5 linked regions of the Danio rerio genome follow. The protein of the gene in region 1 interacts with the protein of each later gene in a biochemical or structural test. Links are inferred from orthologs where the notes say so. Each region holds a gene or a part of one and is shown in the gene's direction. Other genes may lie near its edges.

Region 1 (4,337 bases):
AAATGTTATTTAAGCACTGGCTGTATTTAAACAGACTATCTCAAATCTTTCTCGAACATCAGCCAGATGAAGAGCTCAACCACCCAGCAGCTAGATCTGTCGGTCTGAAGTCCCCGTCCTCAGAAGTGATGATAACCCACTGTTGCAGTGTGCTAAATACATATTTTTATTTTATTTGTAATCGATTTATTCTTTTAAAACTTTAATTTTAATTTATGCAATTGCAATTCCTTGATCCTAGTAAGGTTACTACACCGTTATAGCTGTAAATGCAGTGGAGCTAGTAATTGGCATCGTTTATTTTGGTTTCCTTTTTTTCAGTTTCGGCCAAGTTTGTTAGTTTCAGTGCATCCCTAAAGGTAATCTATCCCTCTCTCTATGTTTAGCTCAAATCTAGTGAACTGACCCAACAAGTCCACTGAAAATTAAAACGAGCCAAAGCGCCCCTTTGTTTTCTTTTTCCCCCGGTGGTATTGAATTACACTTGTAGTTTTTTTTTAATTTGGGTGTTTTCCTTTTGTCATCTAATGTAGGTTGCATCACCAATCTGCTATTATAATCTGCCTCATGATGTTCTAATCTATAGTAAATTATTATTATTATTATAAATACTGAAGGGTGGTATTTACTCATAACCATCTGAAATGATTGGCTTTAGAATCTGCTCAGATCTGAGCCTAAATACTCCCTCGCACCTTCTCAGAAAAGCCTAATTCCTGTATGTTCTGACTGTAAAACCTTCTCCAGTCCCTATCACAGATACTCAACGCCAAATGCATTGAACTACATCACACCCCTGCCGTCCCCTGGAGTCTCTCTGGGCCATAAAGTCTTGTCCACATCCACACCCAATGTCCACATGGTGAGCACAACCCAGCCAGTCGATGAAGCTGCTTATCAGGTAATCCGCCAGTGTCACCAGTGTCTTCATGAATACTCAGATAACATTCTGAATTTGCTGCTTTTCTTATGATTCTGAGTTATACTAATGCAAGTTTTTATTGACCGCAGAATCAAACATTTGACTTAAAAAATCTCACTATTCAGACTCGCACAATTGTTTGTGTCTCAGTTCAGATTGATGATATCTCTTATTTTTGCTCTGAGTTTTTCCCCCTCACAAATCCAAGTTAAGTTCTCATGTTTTTTTGTTCTTATTGTGTTTTTTTGTCATGCAATTTTAAGTTAAGCTTGTAAATCTCACATTTTTGCTCACAGCACTTTTGGAAGTATTAATGCCTTTTAGGTCTTTAATTGGGTCCCGAACTATCGACTTTTTTGTCACAAGCTAATATCTTGTTTTTATTTTATTTTTTTGTTATGTTTGTTGAAAATTGCTAGTTGATTTCTGATGTTTTCAGACTTTTTCTGACATGCAATTTCAAGTTGAGCTCATAATTCTCACTTTTTCCTCACAGTTTTGAGTTTCTAATTTAAATTTTTCGATTTTAATTTGAAATTCAAAAGAGTTTTGTTGGAAAAAGCTCAGAATTACAATTTATAAGTCAGCTTTGAGCCATAAAATAAACTTATTCAGTGAGCTTCATGCATTTCAGCCAGTTTTTCTGTGTGCGCTTGATTTAATTTCTCACGAATCCAAGTTGATTTTCCATGTTTTTGTTTCATTTGTGAGATTTTTTGGTCATGCAATTTTAAGTTAAGCTCGTAAATCTCACTTTTTCTCCTCACTGCTCTTTTCTATTCGAAAATGATCATCATTAATGCCTTTTTAAACTATTATTGCATCTCCTCTTGATCTTCTCGTGTGCTAAAATGATTCTCCCCTCTTCATTCTCAGGAAGCCTTAAGGCATGATGAATCAGGTAAAGGGTTTTTCATGATTTCCCCCAGATTTCGCTGTGAAGCTGAGGCTAAAATGTGTGCTTACCTGCCTCATTTATCTGTCACCTTAACTCACAGGAAGCCCTCAAAACTTAAGCCCGACCGAATGGTCCAAAACCCCAGCTCCAGCTCACAGGGAGAAAGCGCCTTCGAGTAACACTCAGGAAAAACGAATCGTAAGTGACACGAACATCCACTTTACTGTAAAACGTGATGAGAAATCACAACCAAACTTTAAAACAAACGTTATCAAGTGTTTCCACAGAGTTTAGATTAGTTTCTTGCTACTCATCAACACAGTAAAATTAACTAGTTTCTTTAAAAAGTGAGTGAACCTGTTGCAACTAAGTGGACTTAATTATGATAATCATGTACATATTTCATGCTCTTAATAATGTTAAGGCATCAGGCTCACTCAGTGTTTAAAGTAAAGTCAACTAATCGTGTTTACAGTGTAGTTTAAACATGATTTCATGATCCGGGCAGGTGTGTAGAACAAATTATTATTATTATTTTCATTGCATGACATTTCTATTAAAGCTTGTTTATGAATATAAAACACTGAAATGTAAGATGTAAGCGCTGCAGTTCTGACTTTTTTCCTCACAATTGTGAGTTTGTTCCTTTAATTTCCACTGCCGACTTGTTTTCTCTGAATACTGAGAAAGCACTCTGAATTTACTACTGAATAATCATTTGCACCTTAATTTTTTACAATTAAATCTCACTATTCAGGTTTGCTCTACAGAATTGTTTGCTTCTCACAATTTAGATGTTTTTTTAAAGTTAATATATTTAATTGTTTCCTATTTTAGATTTTTTTCTGGTGATATTTTCAGGCTTTTCTTCACTGAAGTGTGTGTTTATGTCATAGGATTTGAGGTTAAGCTCATCATTCTCACATTATTTCTCACAGCTTTAAGCTTTTTTTTTAAAAATAAAACAAAAGGTTTGGATTGTAAAATAAGTGCAATGTAATAAGTAAGTTTTAAGGGATAAAGTAGGTTTTCTTTAAGTAAGCAGTCATGCATTGAGTCAGTTTTGTGTGCGCTGTAGTTAAAGTTGTTGTTGTCTGTGTGTTAGCGTCCTCGAGAGAAGAGAGACTCCAGCTACTACTGGGAGATCGAGGCCACTGAGGTGCTTTTGCTCTCCCGGATCGGCTCAGGCTCTTTCGGCACAGTTTACAAAGGGAAATGGCACGGTAAGACTCCTTTCTCTTCAGCATTTGATGTATTTCTTGTAACACCGTTTGTTATTGTTAGTTGTTTTTTGAATTCCAGTAGTATTTAGGCAGATTAAAGAGGCAGCTGTGTCAGCCACAAGACATTCTCTGTACCATAGTGTCTGTGTTGCAGTTTATAAGTATGATACAACATTATAATTATACCTTTTTACTTTTATTTTTATACTTTTATAAAGTAATACTAATATTATGAGTGAATTCCCCATGATTGTGTAGCCTGCAGAACTCATCTGACAGAGCGTTTAAAGGCCTCTTCAGGTGTTTTGAGTTCATTAGCTGATCAGGGTGGCACCAGCTCTCATCAATACTCAACCTTTTCACAATATACTCATTTCCCGAGGTATTGGTTGTATGTTTATAATATTATGTTTATAATATTCCCCAAGTGACATTAAATGGTGTAAATAACCAGCTATAGTCAATATTATCTTGAGGAAATCTTTTTTATAGTCTATAGAATAAACCACTGTTATACAATGACTTGCTTAAGTTACTTAATTACCCTAGTGAAGTCTTTAAATGTCACTTTAAGCTGAATACTAGTGTCTTAAAGAATATTTAGTCTAATATTATGTGCTGTCATCATGACAAAGAGAAAATAAATCAGTTATTAAACTATTATGGTTAAAATTTTGACAAATCTCATCCCTGTTAAACAGCACTTTGGAAATATTTGTAAAATAATTACCGTTTCACAGGAGGCAAATCATTTAGTGTTCAACTATATATAAACAAACAACAAATAATCTGTATACTGCAGCTTTAAATGCAGCTATCATATTAATATGACCATATCATATACTAATAGATGCATTAGCTCAACTTGATTATTAGTTAAGAATTTGACCCTATGAAAACTGCAGTATGCACTCAGTGATCCTAAAATAGCCCTGCTCTGCAATAAATATTGTTGTATTGATGATTCAGATTAATTGCATATTCCCTGTCATGCATTTATAAATGTGCACGTGCAGTTGAAGTCAGAATTATTAACCCCCTGATGTTTTCACCAATATCTGTTTAACAGAGAAGTTTTCTCCAGCACATTTCTAATCATAATAGTGTTGATAACTCATCTCTAATATCTGATTTATGTTCTCTTTGTCATGATGACAGTAAATAATATTAGACTAGATATTCTTCAAGACACTAGTGTTCAGCTTAAAAGTGGCATTTAAAGGGTTAACAGAAACTAATATAGTTTAAAGGGGCTAATAATATTGACCTTAAAATGGTGTTTAAAAAATTAAAA
Region 2 (3,020 bases), on another chromosome or scaffold:
GCGTGGTTAAGTATGTTAGCCATGCCCATTACCTCACACAGGCGTAGTCTGACAATTTTATCGTAAACAAACAGGAAGTGCATTTTCATATTTCAATGGCAGATTAAAGTAGCAAACATTTTGTTTTTCTTAACGGCATGCACAGATGACTAGTTCACCACAAAACTAGCAAAACTACTGTAAACTAACAAAATCAATATTAGTTTTGATTTCATCTGTACTTTAAGATGACGATAACATCATAATTGTCCTAATGGCGAAATAGATCCATCAGCAAATACAAAGCAGTTACATCTGAACTATCTGGTTTCCTGCAGGTCTCCATCGTTACGTGTGGCTCGTTTATGAGCAGTCGGGGAACATCAGCTGCACTGAACGAGTCCTCACCAACCGCTCTGGAGACAACCGAGGAAAATTCAAGATCCAGAGCTTCCGCAAGAAATACAGCCTCGGGGCTCCGCTCGCAGGCTCCTGCTTCCAGGCCGAGTGGGACAACTATGTGCCCAAACTTTACGAACAGCTGGCTGGCAAATAAAGACTGTTAATTACAATGTATGTTATCCTTTAGTCCAGTGATTCTCAACCACGCTCCTGGAGAACCACCAACACTGCATGTTTGGATGTCTCCTTTGTTCATCAAACCCATCACAGGTCTTTCAGTCTCTGCTAATGAGCTGATGATCTGAATCAGGTGTTTGCTTAAGGAGACAGGAAAATGTGCAGAGCTGGTGGTCCTCCAGGAACGTGGTTAGGAAATACTGCTTTAGTCTGAAGAGCTCAACTCAATACAGTTTCAGTAGTTTAAAGGGATAGTTCACTCAAAACAGCTGATTCTGTCGTTTATTCTTTACTTTTTCCCAAATGAGTTTTGTTTTCTTTATTCTGGTGAATACAAAAGAAGTTATTTTGAAGAAAGTCGGAAAACATTGACTTCCATAGTATTTGTTTTTTCCTGCTATGGATGTCAGTGTTTATCAGTTTCCAGCATTCTTCAAAATATCTTCTTCTGTGTTCAACAGAAGCCAGAAATGAAGATTTTGAAACATCGTAGAGTGTGTACATTTTCATTTTTGAGTGAACTTTCTCTTTTAGGGTTGTCTCGATACTGGAATGTGGCACCAATCAATACTGAAATTTGAAAATTTCCCGCTAACATTTGCGCGCTATTGAGCATGATCTTAAACAGCGCTGATTTGCCATTGTGTTCACATGCTCAACAGAAAACACTGTGATTGGGCTTGAAGGTCATCAGTTCAACGAACTCACCAGTGGTTTCTGCGTGTAACCACAAATACAGGGACACTGGAGAATTTTAAAGCAACGATTCATCAGCAGATCGCTCGTATGTCAGCTTATAGAAAAACCAGCTAATCTTTGCGCTTTGAAACACTCCAGTGTCCCTGTATCCGTGGCCACTCTCAGTAAACAGCGGTGAGTTTGCTTAACTGATGACCTTTATGGCCAATCACAGTCATTTCTGTTGAGCATGTGAATGCAATGGAAAATCTGCGCTGTTTAAGAATGCACTCAAATTTTAGTTGGAAAATAGACTTTTCAAATTTCAGTATTGATTGGTACCGAACTCCAGTATCGTGATAACACTAATCCCTTTAAAAAACAATTAATGAACTGTTTTTGTTTGGATTTTTGCTTTAAATGAATTTCAGGTCTTATTTTGCTTTGGTTGAAATGGAATTTAATTTAACAAGTAACTTCAGTCTACACTTTCATTCATTGTCACTTTGCTTTGATGCACTTAGACTGTCTTCAGTTAAAAAAAACGAGATTTGTGTAATCATAGCTGCACTATAAAATACAGTATCTCAATAATGGAAAAGACTCCATTGAAAAAACTGGATAATAAAAGACAATGTTACGACAAAAGTTTATTTATTTTTGTTGCGAACTGTATTGTGCCTTTTCCTTTGTCCTGCCGCCTTGTGATGTTTTTTGTTATCCCATAGGCTCCCATGTTAATGTGGCCCAGGCTCTGATTGGCTACTGGTCACAGAGAGCTATAAAATGAAACTTCCGGCAGAGTTCGAGGAGCTCATTTTTGTTGTGACTGTTGCTTGGAGTGGAGTGATTTCCCTACTCCGGCCGATGACCAAACATTAATATTGTCCAAATGTCCAAGTATGCTTGGAACTTTTTTGAGAGTTTGAGCTTGTAGGGGTGGCCTGCCTATTTATTTACATTACTTTTGACTTTGTTCAGTGAGGAAGGTAAGCTTCCTATAGATTCGCAAGTTATTTAGTTAATTTACTTTACAGACATTTTAACAACATTTTTTCTCTGAATTCTCTGAGTTTATTCTTAACATTTTCTTGAAACATTCTTTTCAAAATTTAAAATGTACATATTTTAAGTTTATTCTCAATGTTTTATTTCAACATTTTTCTCAAAATGAATTAATATTCTTTAGTTTGTTATTTTGGCCTGTGGCCATCCTGAGGAGATGCTCATTTAAATTGCTACTTTTTTTCCTACAATAAATCTATCAGACCCTCCAGTTTTTCACAATTCCACAATTGCTGAATCCAATGAAAATTAACAAAAAGTTGAAAATTTTTAAGATCTTGCAAAATGTTTAATTTAAACGCACAAAAAATGTAAAGCAACCAATTCCAAACCAAATAATCAAATTAGATTTAAGTTTGCAATTAATTGTTTTACAGTACTTATAGACGTTGTGTACGCCGCGCACATGAGCCTGTAAAGTAAGCAGACACGGCTGAAGCGTGAATGATTTAGATGTGAAGTCAATACAAAGATGCGATTAGACAATCTGTGGCGCGAATTGGGCCATTTGTGCATTTGGCGCTTATAATGATGGAGATTGGTTCAAGGATGATGGCCACTGGATGTGACCGAAATCAAGAACATTATTTGTGTTTTACATGTATGGCCGGTATTATGATGTGCGTCAAATTAATAAATGATTTCACTTAACTCTTTCCCTGCTGTTCACGAGAAAATACTTCCCTGCTATTGACGAGTTTTACAGCAATCCCTGTTTT
Region 3 (4,855 bases), on another chromosome or scaffold:
AAAGATAGTTAATCTGCGGTTAATTAGCACAGGCCTACACTACCTCACAAAAGTCTTGTCATTGATCCCAGTTGTAAAAGCAACAAATAATTTATTTAGTTGACTTTTAGTAGATCATTTGGAAAAGTGTCAGAAGGTAGTTTTTCAGATGAATCATCTGTTGAGCTGCATCCCAATCATCACAAACACTGCAGAAGACCTACTGGAACCCACAAAGACCCACGATTCTCACAGAAATCAGTCAAGTTTGGTTAAGAAAAAATCATGGTTTGGTTACATTCAGTGTGGAGGCATGCAAGAGATGGATGGCAACATCAACAACCTGAGGTATCAAGACATTTGTGCTGCTCGTTACATTACCAACCACAGGAGAAGGCAAATTGTTCAACAGGATAGCGCTCCTTCTCATACTTCAGCCTCCACATCAAAGATCCTGAAAGCAAAGAAGGTCAAGGTGCTCCTGGAATGGCCAGCCCAGCCACCAGAGATGAACATTATTGAGCATGTCTGGGGTAATATGGAGGAGGAGGCATTGAAGATGAATCCAAAGAGTCTTGATATGCTTGATGATCTTGGGGTATTAGTGCTATATAAATAAACGTCCTTTTCTGTTTTCATACAGCATGTGGTACACTAGTAGTAAAGCCTCTGTACAGGAATTGCAGTAGAAAAATGTAGCAATTTTATACCACTCTCACTTTCAACAGCAATGAAATAAAAATAATAATAAAAGCTCACTGCACGGTGGCGCAGTGGGTAGCACATTTGCCTCACAGCAAGAAGGTTGCTGGTTCGAGCCTTGGCTGGGTCAGTTGGCGTTTCTGTGTGGAGTTTGCATGTTCTCCCCGTGTTGTTGTGGGTTTCTCCTTGGTGGTCCAGTTTCTCCCAAAAACATGTGGTATAGGTGAATGAGTATGTATGGGTGTTTCCCAGTGATGGATTGCAGCTGGAAGGGCATCCACTGTGTAAAACATATGCTGGATAAGTTGGCGGTTCATTCTGTTGTGGCAACCCTTAAAGGGACTAAGCTAAAGAAAATAAATGAATGTGTTTCGTTCTTTGAACACAAAATAAGTTATTTTGAAAAATGTTGGAAACTGGTAACCATTGACTTCCATACTATTGGTTTTTCCTATGGAAGTCAATGGTTACAGGTGTTAAACGATGTTGAAAACATATTTTCAGTATTTGAACGTGGTTGGACTATAGCTTTAAGCAGTCGAAAGAACGCCCACATGACAAGTTTGTAGCAATATTTGTTTACAATACGCAATATGAATTACATTGTCAATAAAAAAATATAAGAGAGAGAAAGACAGAAGAAAAAATGAATAAAGAACATGATATAAACTTGAGCATAAGACATTTAAGTATCAATAACAGTACATAAATTAAAGTCATTACAAAATGAAATAAGGAACGCCCACATATTGCATTGCAGTGAACCCACCTCGTTCTAAAGCAACGTGAGATGTACGCCAATAATAATCCTCCTTACTCAAGAGGGCGTTCGGTTTGTGTCTCTCTATCCAATCGGAGAAACTCATGTTGACACTGTTCTGCGCATGCGCAAGCTCCACCTGCTCATGTGTTTCTTGCGCAGGCTCCGGTGGAGGTCACTGTGATCATTCAGCGCAGCGGGTAAGTGCTCACGTTTTAGGAGACTTACATTTAAATGCGAACTTAAAGCTTTTGTTTTACTCACAAAGCATCGGTAATTATAACGCGACAGTATGAAAGTGAAATAAACACGACGTGTGGGTGTTTGTTGGCGTTATTGCATGACAGTTGCATCATTAGCGTGTAGCAGGCTAATAAATGAGTGAAGTTCACTACTGCGGATTGTATTAATGCCTGTTAATCTGTGTCACATGTGTTATTGTAATAGCAATTGTTTTTAAGTGGTGTATATATGTGTATATTGTGCAGTTTTACTTGTGATTTTTCCAGTGACCGGTTAGAGTGAGATCAGATTAGCACGTTACATTGATGTCAGTGTCACTGTCAGAGTCAAGGCTAAACCGGCTAGCATTGGTTTGATTACCCAAGGGCTCTATATGCACAAGAGATCACCCATGATGAGATACTGAAGATGAATGTGTTTTCCCCGCAGGACTGTCACTTTGTTGTCATGGCGAAGCTCTTTGAGTCCATTGGGAAGCTGGGATTGGCCTTGGCCATTGGAGGAGGTGTTGTTAACTCTGCTCTGTACAATGGTGAGTTGTAATAACTACTGATGTGTTTTGTAAAACAATGGCAGCAATGGTTAAAGCATTTAATTCCTATAAGTATTCTAATAAGGTCAATTTAAAGGGCTTACACGCAACAAATTAAATTTGTTGTTAATTTTATCCACATTGAGGCTGTCGATAGGTCATAGGAATGCACAATATTGCAACTTTATATTGCTATATTTAGAGTTCCCATGGGTCTTGGAATTTTTGTGAATATCATGAGTTTTAAAGGGGGTCATTTGTGCATATATCAGTTTTCTAAGTGGTTTAAATGCAGTTGTGTGGCAACCGTGTGTGAATATAACCAGCTTGTAATGGTAAAACAATAGTTTTATTATAGTTATTTATTATATTATATTATTATCCAATAGTTTTATTAATAGTATTATAATCAGACTTGATAAACAGTCTGCATGAACACCTTGATTGACATTGTACCTGTCATCAGAGGGGGAAAGCCCGTCCATTAGTGACGATCTCTGCCTCATTAGCATAAACAGCCCTGAGTGAGAAGCAGCCATTCGCCATTAAGTCGCCCTTCCACTGCACACGACAAGCGAAAGACTGGAAGACGTTGAATTTCCAATGGAGAGTAGTCCGGGAGCTGCGTAGAGTTCAGATTCTCTCCGTATGTGGAAAATTTGGATCCGATATGAGCTGCAGAGCTGCTGTTGGAAATATTTGAACTCCTGCGACTACACCGTATACGACCGACCGCATGTGATGTAGTTCAGTGTTGTCCAGGCAGGTCTGTGCGTGCGAGATGAGAAATAGGATTTTTTTTTTTCTTAAATCAGAAAAAAGTCTATATTAAAAAATGTTTTGTTCATAAATGAGTCATAAAAATACTTTTTTTTGTTTGTTTCCACATTCCCGCCAACATTTTTAGCGGTCTGAGTTTCTAGTGTTGATTCATTCATTCAACCATGGTGGACACCCAGAGAGTAAAGGCTCTTGCTTTTGCACTCTTTTATTACTGACGCTGTGAGAACATCTTCTCTCCCATGGTGCACGACAAAACTGAAAGTTCTGTGCGACTGCCACAAGGGGGAGTATTCCGACAGTCGTGTTCAAATGTGATGTGCAGTGGAAAGGCGGCTTTAGAGTGTTCACCTGCTGAAGATAATGACACTGACTATAAGGCACTATTAATGTGAAGTTTTAGATGCGCAAATGAACACTGTAGTCTCCATAGACTGCCTTCTTTTGAGACGTTTCTTTCACATTTTCAGTTTTCACAGAGATCTCCTTAAGTACTGTTAATGAATCTGCCACTATGCTGACGCATTGACATTTATAGCTCCACCTGCCTTTGCACAGAGCAAAAGCTAGTTTACATTTCAAGCGGCAGTCACAAAGAAGCGGCGTAATTTGGACCAAAGCCTAAAAGGGGCAGTTTCAAAATGGTTATAAAGCAATATTTATTTTTCATCCTGCAAAAAAGGATCTTAATAGTTCATTTTTAAAATGTTTATTTCAGATATTTAAAGTCATGGAAATTTTTTTGTCCAAGTCGAGGAACATCTAGATTTTGCTTGTCAATTTTTATTTTACTTTTCATTCATCAAATTACATTTATCGAATTGCACTTTATGTAGCCCGTGTGTGTGTGTGTGTGTGTGTGTGTGTGTGTGTGTGTGTGTCTGTGTGTGTCTGTGTGTGTGTCTGTGTGTGTCTGTGTGTGTGTCTGTGTGTGTGTCTGTGTGTCTGTGTGTCTGTGTGTCTGTGTGTCTGTGTGTCTGTGTGTCTGTGTGTGTGTGTGTGTGTGTGTCTGTCTGTCTGTGTGTCTGTCTGTCTGTGTGTCTGTCTGTGTGTGTGTCTGTGTGTGTGTGTGTCTGTGTGTGTCTGTGTGTCTGTGTGTGTGACTGAGAACTCTAAATCATGCTGTTTTTTGTTTTTTTTTAGCAGGTGTGCTTGTGTGGCCGTTTTATTTTTATTTTTATTTTATTGTTCATTTCATAAAGCACAACATTTCTCTATGAGTTCTCTGCCCGCTGCTATGTTGTTTGTGTGTTTCTACAGTAAATGCACAGGGACTTCAAAATGAACTTTTGGTGCTTAACACCTTTTTATTGGTCTTTTTATTTTTCTGCTCTTTCAAAAATAAGGTCCAGGATTTAGATTAAAAGTTACTTGTAAATATTTTCTCTATTTAACAACAGTACAGTAGGTCAGTAGTGAAAGATGGCTTCACTTGCGTCAGATTTTGCTTGGTCTTAAAGCTTTCTTAGATGGGTTATTTCACAATTTATAATGGCATAGCAGACAAAATAGGACAAATGAGCTCATGTATGGGGAAAGAAATTCTGGAGCTTTGTCAGTGGGGTGAGTCATAGAGGAGCGTTGCATGTTTGAAACCTGACTTTCATTCAACTAAATCAGGGGTCAGCAACCCGCGGCTCTAGAGCCACATGCGGCTCTTTAGCGATGCCCTTGTGGCTCCCTTAAGTTTTTTCAAAAGTGTTCAAAAAGATGGGGAAGGTTAGTATATATTTTTGTTTTAATATGATTTCTATTGGAGGACAAACATTTTTAACGTTTTCAAATGCTGTAAAAGTGTGTAGAATTAATATTTAATTTCAACATTTCTGTCAACGAAGATTTGCGTCATAGCCTGCGAC
Region 4 (4,802 bases), on another chromosome or scaffold:
TGAACTGAAATGGTGTTTGGTGAATGAGGGCTCTTTTACTGTTTCTTAATGTTAATATATTATTTATCTGAATGTGTTTGGTGTTCAGCAGGAAATAACATTACAACATGAATTTGAGTACATTTATTATTATTCACATCATTTTCAGCAAACTCATTGTTTTGCACCTAAAATATGATGCAGCTATTTTGGGGGGACTTTAAAATATCTCTAAACAAAAACTGAATACAAAATTCACATTTTTACAGAAGAATTAGAGACATTTGACTTATTTTTATAATAAAGTCTATGACTAAATTATGTAATTACATGAAAAAAAAATTTAAAGAAGAAATGACGGCATTCTTCATAAATGTTAATTAAAATGAGCAATTATGGCTTACTCTGAGTTATTTAAAGGTCAAAATTATAAATAGGGTATTAAAAAAAAGAAATGTTATACCTAAATCAAAATTAGAAGTGATAAGAAAGCACATTATCTTGAACATTTTTAAAGTTTTAAAATTAATAATCACAAAAAAACTAAAATGTAGAGTAAAAATGATGATAACACTAATGAATTATATATTATCATCATAATTATTCACATTTTGATTCATGTATTTTTTCTACTTGTCTTACTTGTCGACTGTTCATGTTGTCCTCATTTAAGTGCATTATATGGTTTATGAACTGAAATGGTGTTTGGTGACTCTTTTACTGTTCTTTAATGTTAATATATTATTTTTCTGAATGTGTTTGGTGTTCAGCAAGAAATTATATTGCAATCTGAATTTGAGTATGTTTATTATTAAATTATTCACATCATTTTAGCAAACTCATTGTTTTGCACCTAAAATATGATGCAGCTTTTTAGGGTGACTCTAAAATGTCTCTAAACAAAAATTAAATACAAAATGCACATTTTTACAGGAGAATTAAAGACATTTGATGTATTTTTATATTAAATTATATAGCTAAATTCTATAACTACATGAAAAAAAATATTTAAAGAAGAAATTAAGACTTTTTTTGTAATTCTTAATAAAAAATGAGCAATTATGGCTTACTCTGTTACTTAAAGGTCAAAATTATAAATAAGGTATTAAAGTCATAAGAATTAAAAGTCATTAGAAAGCTCAAAATTATATGCTGAAGTAGAAATTAAGTCAGTTATTTATATTTTTATTACATGCTTTTCTAGAACACTTTTTAAAATGTGTAACCGGAAAAAAACGTGTAAAATGTAGAATAAATAATGATAATAATCAAGCATTATTATTATAACTGTTTTCATATTTATTTATATATTTTATCTAATTATTATTATTATGAAATTAAACTCCTGCACGTCGCCGACAGGTGGCGTTATTACGTTGGCAACGAGCTTCCGATCGTCACCTCCGGCGACGTCACAGTGACGGCAGAGTCAAAACAACCGAAACATGATGCTAGCGTCTCACACCCGCGGGTAAAATGTCGTGTTTTTGAGGATCGCCGATGAAAACGTCGGACATTTGTCATCTTAATGTCATGATCGAGTCGGAATATGAGTTTGGCCGCGTTTCATTCGCTATCAGGGATCCAAAAGTGATCATCAAAGCACCAGTGTCGCTACCGGTTTGCTAACGACAGGCGTCAGTCCAGCAGTCAAACCCGGTACGCCTCAAATAATCCATATTTCATATTCAAACCATCTGATTTAATCTCTAAGCGTGTTTATTCTCAGCGCTGACCTGGTTGTTAGCTTGTAAAGTGTGTGTGAATGTGCTTATGTGTCAGGCACAGGAGTTTAATTTCTGATCGACGTGAAATTACATTTACTCGTTGGTAGTGCTTAATTTTAGTGATTAACTGTTGGATTGTGTGTGTTTTAAGTTCACAGAGCTGCATAAAGAGTCATGAATGATTTCACACAACTGTCAGTGTCCAGATGTGTGTTACTGTTGTCCAGATGTGTGTGTGTGTGTGTGTGATGTACATTAAACAATTCATTTTAATCATTTCTACTATATGAACAGCAGCTCTACAAAAGGTGCACGTTAATACATTTCAATCAAAATCAGAAAAATGTAGAGTATACACTCACCGACAGGAGCTTAATGCATTTAGGCATGTAGACATGGTCAAGACGATCTGCTGCAGGTCAAACCGAGCATCAGAATGAGGAAGTAAGGGGATTTGAGTGACTTTGAACGTGGCATGGATGTTGATAACAGACATGCTGGTCTAAGTATTTCAGAAACTGCTGATCTACTGGGATTTTCACGCACAACCATTTCTAGGGTTTACAGAGAATTCTCCGACAAAGTGGAAATATCCAGTGAGCGGCAGTTCTGTGAGCACAAATGCCTTGTTGATGCCAGAGGTCAGAGGAGAATGGCCAGACTGGTTCCAGCTGATAGAAAGGCAACAGAAACTCAAATAAGCACTCGTTACAACCAAGGTCTGCAGAAGAGCATCTCTGAACACACAACACGTCCAACCTTGAGGCGGATGGGCTACAGCAGCAGAAGAGCACACCGGGTGCCGCTCCTGTCAGCTAAGAACAGGAAACTGAGGCTACAATTCACACAGACTCACCAAAACTGGACAATAGAAGATTGGAGAAACGTTGCCTGCTCTGATGAGTCTCCATTTCTGCTGACACATTCAGATGCTCGGGTCAGAATTTGACGTCAACAGCATAAAAGCATGAATCCATCCTTCCTTGTGTCAGCGGTTTAAGCTGGTGGTGGTGGTGTATTGGTGTGGGGGAGATTTTTTTAGCACACTTTGGGTCCATTAGTACCAATTGAGGGTCGTGCAAGTTTTTGCAAGATACTTGTATTCAGCATTTAAAGGCTTAATTATGTTAACTAGGCAAGTCATTGTATAATGATGGTTTGTTCTGTAGCTAATTGAAAAATATCTTGATTTCTGTAGCGCTTTTACAATGCAGATTGTGTTAAAGCAGCTTAACATAGAAGATTATAGTGATATAGTGATAGTGTAAACTGTCAGTCCAGTTTTCAGAGTTGGAGTTCAGTTTAGATTAGTTCAGTGTGGTTTAATATTCAATACTGAGAGTTCAAACACTGAAGAGCAAATCCATCGATGCGCAGCTCCACAATTCCCAAACCAAGCAAGCCAGTGGCAACAGCGAAGGAACAATCTTCACCAATTGACGTGATTGAAGTGAAGGAAAAAACCTGGAGAGAAACCGGCTCTGTTGGGCACGACCATTTCTCCTCTGACCAAACTGCAGAAAAGCAGTCTAGGCGCCGGAGGCTGGAGAACGCTGGATGTCCATCGTGGAGAAGATGCAAGTGTGAGTAGGTCACCGGCGTGTGTTCAGGCTGGCCCACTTGATAAATGTGAGGACTTGTTTGTCACTGGGGTGATTCAGGCATCAGTCTTATGCTCTCAGCTCCTCCATGACAACCACAATATCTGCCAGGCCCGGATTGGCGAACCGAGAGAATTCCTGGTGGGTCGGTCCGTTTTTTGGCCGTGAGGGCCAGTGTCCCTAGCTGCTTGCACTCTCAGCAGTCACACTTTTTTCATTTATTTATTTATTAATTTGACCATAGCCTCACTCTTTTTTTTTGTTTTTCATTATTTTGCCGCAGCGCCGCTCTTTTTATTTATTTTTTTTCTTGCTGCTCCGTGAGCAAAATGCAGCCTGCAGGTTTACTAACGTTAATGATGATGTAACTAATCATTCGACCCCAAACAGTGGCACCTTAGTGATTATAAGAATTTGAATAATTAATATTAATGAATAATACACCTGCTCAATGAAAATCAGATGATTTACTACATTAAATCTGACAAAACTTGATCAGAAATCTAAAAGGAGAAAATGATTTAGCCATCAAAGTAATACTATGTCTTGCCGTTCACAGTGTAATCTTTATTTTTTATTCCCACTGGAATAGCGCCATTGTGGTCCAGTGGAAAGCACGTTGCGTTGCGAAACTTCCGACCCATGTTCGAATCTCACCTGAAAAATTATTATTATTATTTTTCGTTTTTATGACATAATACTGTAAGGGTTGTTGAACATTTGAATTTCTAAAGCAGCTGTTTTCTCAAAAAAGATGTGATAGTGTCATTAGAAACTGAATTGGAAATGACCTTATTTTAATGTAATCAGTCGAGGTGGGCTGGTCTGGCTTGAAACTCCAGGGCTGAAAATGAGTCCCACTCCGGCCCTGATATCTGCTCAGGATACGGCCTGGTCCAGGATTATGGAGACCTCTAGAAGTGCTCTGCGGTTGGCATCATTTCTTCACAGGTCTTGGATCACATCAATGGCGCTGCACAATCTCTAGAGGCCTCGGGATGAGTATCCCCAGGTGGAAATAGAAAATAAAGAAAATAATTAGCGTAGCTGCTGTTCATAGTGTATTTAAACAAGAGATATTAAAAATCAATGCAAAAATCAAGAGCTATAAATGAAAATAGCACTTATATAAACATAAAAACAAACACGCAAAGCATATCATTGTTTCTAACAAACTGTTTTGAATGTATATTCTTATGGTGGCTAATAAAATTGACCCCATAAGAATATTGTTATGATTTTGCACCTGCATTACTGTGGCTCATATTTTCCTTGTGTGTTTCTGAGAGGTTTGCAGGTAACTGGCTCCCCGGGACCGGCCGGTGCTCACCGAAGAGACGGGGAACAGGATTGGGAAGCAGGGGGGAGCGGCCACCGCAGAGCCCATGGAGAAGATGGCGAGCAGCCCAGAGAAAAGCTCATCCGCACAGGAGCTGAAGGAGCAGGGAAACCGCCTGTTCCTCAGCCGCAAGTACCAGGAGGCCGTCACCTGCTA
Region 5 (4,836 bases), on another chromosome or scaffold:
CAAAAATGTGAAATTCTTAAGGGTTGCTACTGTAATAATATTGACCCTACAATATTTTTAAAAATTAGAAATAAAATTCAGCCAAACTAAAAGAAAAACAACTTTCTCCAGAAGAAAATAATATTATAGTAAATACTGTGAAAATGTTCTTTCTCTGTTAAACAGCATTTTAGAAATGTTTGAAAAACAGTAAAAAATTCACAGGAAAGCACACACACACACACACACACACACACACACACACACACACACACACACACACACACACACACACACACACACACACACACACACACACACACACGTACATATACACACTACCCGTCAAAAGTTTGGGGTCAGTTTTTTTTCATGTTTTGTTTTTTAAAGAAAATGATTCTGTTCATCAAGGCGGCATTTATTAATTGTACAAATATTGTTAAATTATTAAATATTTAATATTTAAAAAAAATGAAATACCAATTAATATCAAAAACACTCCTAATCGACAACAACAACAATAATAATATGAATTAATAAATAAAGAAATACTAGAGCGTAACAATATACTTTTGAACAGTTATTTTATAGAGCAATAATATTTCACAAATGCACATATTTTACTGTACTTTTGGTGAAATATATATATATATATATATATATATATATATATATATATATATATATATATATATATATATATATATATATATATATATGTGTGTGTGTGTGTGTGTGTGTGTGTGTGTGTGTGTGTGTGTGTGTGTATATATATATAGGCCCTTAAGCAATTTTTTTGATAGTCCATCATTAAAACATCATTATACAATAACTTGCCTAATTACCCTAATCTGCCTAGTTAACTTAATTAACCCAGTTAATCCTTAATGTCATAATGTCACTTTAAGCTGTATAGAAGTGTCTTGTAAAATATATAGTCAAATATTATGTACTATCATCATGGCAAATATAAAATAAATCCATTATTAGAAATGAGTTATTAAAACTATTGTGTTTAGAAATGTGTTGAAGAAATCTTCTCTCCGTTAAACAGAAAGTGGGGGAAAAATAAACAGGGGGGCTAATAATTCTGACATCAACTGAATACAATGACATCATTGGCACCTCACCAATCCCAAGTAGCTAATTGGAGTTTTTCAAACTTGAAAAAAGAAGTTCCTAAAAAAATGTTTAAAAAAAAAATCCATTTAGTTTATGAATTTTTCATTTTTATTTACGTTTATAAAATTTTCAACATAAAAATATTATTGTTATAATTATTTGTTTGTTTGTTTGTTTTATATAACAGAAGATTTAACGTCTTGAAATAACGGCAAATAACACTGCAGGGTTAGAATTTTTCATTTAAAACTAATTCAATGAGTGCCCTATATAGGGTTAATGTAATTTAATATAATAATAATTATTTTTTTGTTTTAATTAATGACTCCCACAGATCTGACCATCGTTTCCACAAGACACAAAATGTAATTCAGTGTAACATTTTATTTACATTCATTTGATTTATCTTATGTGTTTAAGAATCACAATGTAGCTAAAAACTGTCGTTTAAACATTATTTGTTAACTTCCTTTAGACCAAATTTATTTATCAGATACACCTTTAATTTTTAAAAAAGTTCTGAATATGTATGTTTTATTTTCGTTAAAAAATACAAATTAATCCTGTTAGCCTGCACACCTTTTGGTATTCACACCTGATAATAATAAAATTTTTATTAAAGCACCGCTACCCTATCAACAAAGAACATGATTGACAAGTCTACAAACCAATGAGTTGGCGGCTAACAGAAGTGGCAACCAATCGCAGTGAAGAGTGGGCGGCTCCAATGCGTTTCCCTATTTAACTTTGAAACATAATATTAGCTTACTATTTTTAAGTCGACGGCTACAGACTAGTTCCCCGTCTGCAACTAAACGTTAATATCAGCAGGTTTGTCGAGAATTGCAGGTAAATGACACATCAATGTTATCAAATACATGAGTTGTCAACAAACAGACAGATTCTTTTACAGCTTACGTACATTTCTTTTAACATAATGTCTTAAAATGGCGGCTGTTTTGCATACGCAACCTAATAACACTAAATCAGTTAATAACTATCGCCTACACTCCTGTGTTTGTTGAAGGGTCTCTGGAAAATGTATTTATTTTACACGTCGTTGATTCTGTGCGTCCTCTGCGCATGTCACATGACCAAAGCCACCTGTGACGAGCCTTTGACAGCAGAAGATGCTGAATTCTGCAAGTAAGTTTCCATTGTAATGGATGCAATTCCTAAAAGAGTTATAATGCGTTTAAGAGGTTATGGTGGAGTATCCAGTGTTTCGTCTCTACCATCACACCCCTTGGAGTGGGAAATGTATGTTTTTGTCACAACCTTCCTCAATTAATTACAAAATCAGGTCTCTCTTTCAAAAAGGAAGCTGTAACAACCCCATATGTGAAGTTTTATTGGATGGAAGTATATGACCAGATTCAATGGGATAAAAAAGTTTGGTCTTTTTTTTTTCTGTAAAATATTAAAAAACTAAAAAAAAAAAATTAGAGAAATTTAATTTAAATTTAATTAAATTTTACCCAGCCAAGACGTTTTTGAAAAAAAAAAAGAAAAGAAAAAAAGTCAGATCTAATACATGCGTCTCTATCTGTAATATACCCAATGAGACTGCGGATTAAGCATGGGACGATAACTTTTTGCAAGGTATACTGCTGTTTGGAAAAGTCAAGGTTTTAAAACGTCAAAATTCTGCAATACTGTTCCTAAGGTATCACATAAGGTATGTGAAATATTTTTTTTATTTACTTTTTTTTTTTTAAGACAACAGTATCTCCAGCTAAAAAAGATATCCAAAGCTGCCGTTGTGTGTATGTATATATATATATATATATATATATATATATATATATATATATATATATATATATATATATATATATATATATGTATATGTGTATATGTATATATGTATATGTATATATGTATATATGTATATGTATATATGTATATATGTATATATATGTAAAAGTGTTTTGTTACACTGACATTAATAAAAAAATCTACAAGCATATTATATATATATATATATATATATATATATATATATATATATATATATATATATATATATATTACATATACATTTATATTACATATGATTATATATTATATAATAATAAATATCACATTACATATTATTATTATTATTATTATTGATATTATTATTATTATTATTATTATTATTTTCATATTACTTTGTCTTTATATATTTAGAATCATTATTATTTTGCTAAATGTATTTGCTTTATTAAAATAAGACATCATAAAATATAATCAAATCTCTTATTTTTATTCCTATAAATAAATATATCCTGTGAAATATTTATTAATAAAAAAAAATTCCCAACTAATAGCTACTGAAGCAAAGACATTTAAAGGCATTTCTGTTAATGTTTTTTCTTCTAGAGAAAAAACTTATTTGTTTTATTTTGGGTTGAATAAAACCATTTTTTAACTTTTAAAAACTATTTAAAAGTCATTATCATTGGCTCTCATGTGCATTTTTTTCCCGATTGTCTATAGAACAAACCACTGTTGCACAATGATTTGCCTAATCACCCTAACATTATTATTATTATTATTAAAACATCCATTATTTGCTTGTAAATAATAAAATATTATATATAATATATATAAAATATATAAAGCCTATATACCATATGGAGATGTCTTTCAGCTTTCCTCAAGGAGTTCTGGAATAGGGTTAATTTCCAAACCATATTTTCCGAGCTGAACTGATTTGAGAAGTCTGGCTTGTAGGCCGATGTGGGATGTGCAGGACTCCCTCAGAGCTCTGAGTCACGGATGCTCAAGCAGCAGGTCCCACTCAAAACACAAAAACCCACACAACAATTTGTACAACCCTAAAAACTTACTCACTATTTCAACTTTCAGTGCATTCATTGGTTATTCATGACCTTCCATTGGAAACCATTGATTGAATACTGATGCATGGAGTGATATAAACAGCTTGACTTATTCCCCGTACCTCTACTTTTACTCTTTAGGGGAGGGTTAAAGGTGATTTATCCAGATCTGGTTGTTGACAAATGCTTGATCGTCCCTCAGAGGATGAGAGAGAAGATCAGTATGGAGTGGGGATCACCTGAAGTACTCCTGCCACATGCTGAGGAGGTAAGACAAGTTTCCTTCATGACCTCTTGCTGACCTCGTACTCTTTGTTAGCAATTGGCGGTTTAGCCAGTGATTACCCTACTAAATAGGACATGTATGCAAGCTATGTTTTGATGCTGGTTTCAATGCTGGTCTTGCTGGTTCCGATGCTGGTCTTGATGCTGGTTTCGAAACTGATCTTGATGGTCTCTACTGGATTTGCTGTTCTTAAAATGCTGGTCTCGATGGTCTCAATGCTGGACTTGATTGTTTCAATGCTGGTATTGCTGGTTTTAATACTGGTCTTGATGGTTTCCATGCTGGACTTGATGGTCTCGATACAGAACTTTTGATTGTTTTGAGGCTGGTTTTGATGGTTTCGATGATGAACTTGCTGGTGTTGATGCTGGACTTGCTAGTCTTAATGCCGGCCTTTATGGTCAGGACCAGCATTGAGACCAACAAGTCCAGCATTGAGACCAACACTGAAAACCTGGTCTTGCTGGTCTCGATGCCGATTTTTCTGGTTTCAGTGCTGGTTTGATGCTCATCTCGGTGCTGGTCTTGCTGGTTTCGATGCTGGTCCCTCTGGTTTCAGTGCTGGTCTCATTGCTAGTCGGGACCAGCATTGAGATCAGTAAGTCCAGCATTGAGTTCAGTAAG

The links.
Region 2: the proteins of raf1b (region 1) and pebp1 form a complex in vitro, tested with the Homo sapiens proteins (3 studies listed by BioGRID and IntAct, with this or other methods). The link is inferred for Danio rerio from reciprocal best matches to the Homo sapiens genes RAF1 and PEBP1.
Region 3: the proteins of raf1b (region 1) and phb form a complex in vitro, tested with the Homo sapiens proteins (2 studies listed by BioGRID). The link is inferred for Danio rerio from reciprocal best matches to the Homo sapiens genes RAF1 and PHB1.
Region 4: of the proteins of raf1b (region 1) and stub1, one has a biochemical effect on the other in vitro, tested with the Homo sapiens proteins (4 studies listed by BioGRID, with this or other methods). The link is inferred for Danio rerio from reciprocal best matches to the Homo sapiens genes RAF1 and STUB1.
Region 5: the proteins of raf1b (region 1) and pebp4 form a complex in vitro, tested with the Homo sapiens proteins (2 studies listed by BioGRID). The link is inferred for Danio rerio from reciprocal best matches to the Homo sapiens genes RAF1 and PEBP4.

The regions. Positions count from the first base shown.
Region 1 is NC_133186.1:564,857-569,193, forward strand, and holds part of raf1b (RAF proto-oncogene serine/threonine-protein kinase), read left to right. Parts: intron 1-747; coding exon 748-901; intron 902-1,798; coding exon 1,799-1,823; intron 1,824-1,920; coding exon 1,921-2,018; intron 2,019-2,925; coding exon 2,926-3,043; intron 3,044-4,337. UniProt on the Homo sapiens protein: Serine/threonine-protein kinase that acts as a regulatory link between the membrane-associated Ras GTPases and the MAPK/ERK cascade, and this critical regulatory link functions as a switch determining cell fate decisions including proliferation, differentiation, apoptosis, survival and oncogenic transformation.
Region 2 is NC_133180.1:16,092,446-16,095,465, forward strand, and holds the end of pebp1 (phosphatidylethanolamine-binding protein 1), read left to right. Parts: intron 1-317; coding exon 318-535; 3' UTR 536-1,884; downstream 1,885-3,020.
Region 3 is NC_133178.1:14,400,715-14,405,569, forward strand, and holds the start of phb (prohibitin 1), read left to right. Parts: upstream 1-1,615; 5' UTR 1,616-1,641; intron 1,642-2,113; 5' UTR 2,114-2,131; coding exon 2,132-2,216; intron 2,217-4,855.
Region 4 is NC_133199.1:43,371,922-43,376,723, forward strand, and holds the start of stub1 (E3 ubiquitin-protein ligase CHIP), read left to right. Parts: upstream 1-1,392; 5' UTR 1,393-1,638; intron 1,639-4,594; 5' UTR 4,595-4,692; coding exon 4,693-4,802. UniProt on the Homo sapiens protein: E3 ubiquitin-protein ligase which targets misfolded chaperone substrates towards proteasomal degradation.
Region 5 is NC_133183.1:60,322,202-60,327,037, forward strand, and holds the start of pebp4 (phosphatidylethanolamine-binding protein 4), read left to right. Parts: upstream 1-1,868; 5' UTR 1,869-1,950; intron 1,951-2,128; 5' UTR 2,129-2,140; coding exon 2,141-2,247; intron 2,248-4,067; coding exon 4,068-4,194; intron 4,195-4,836. UniProt on the Homo sapiens protein: Promotes AKT phosphorylation, suggesting a possible role in the PI3K-AKT signaling pathway.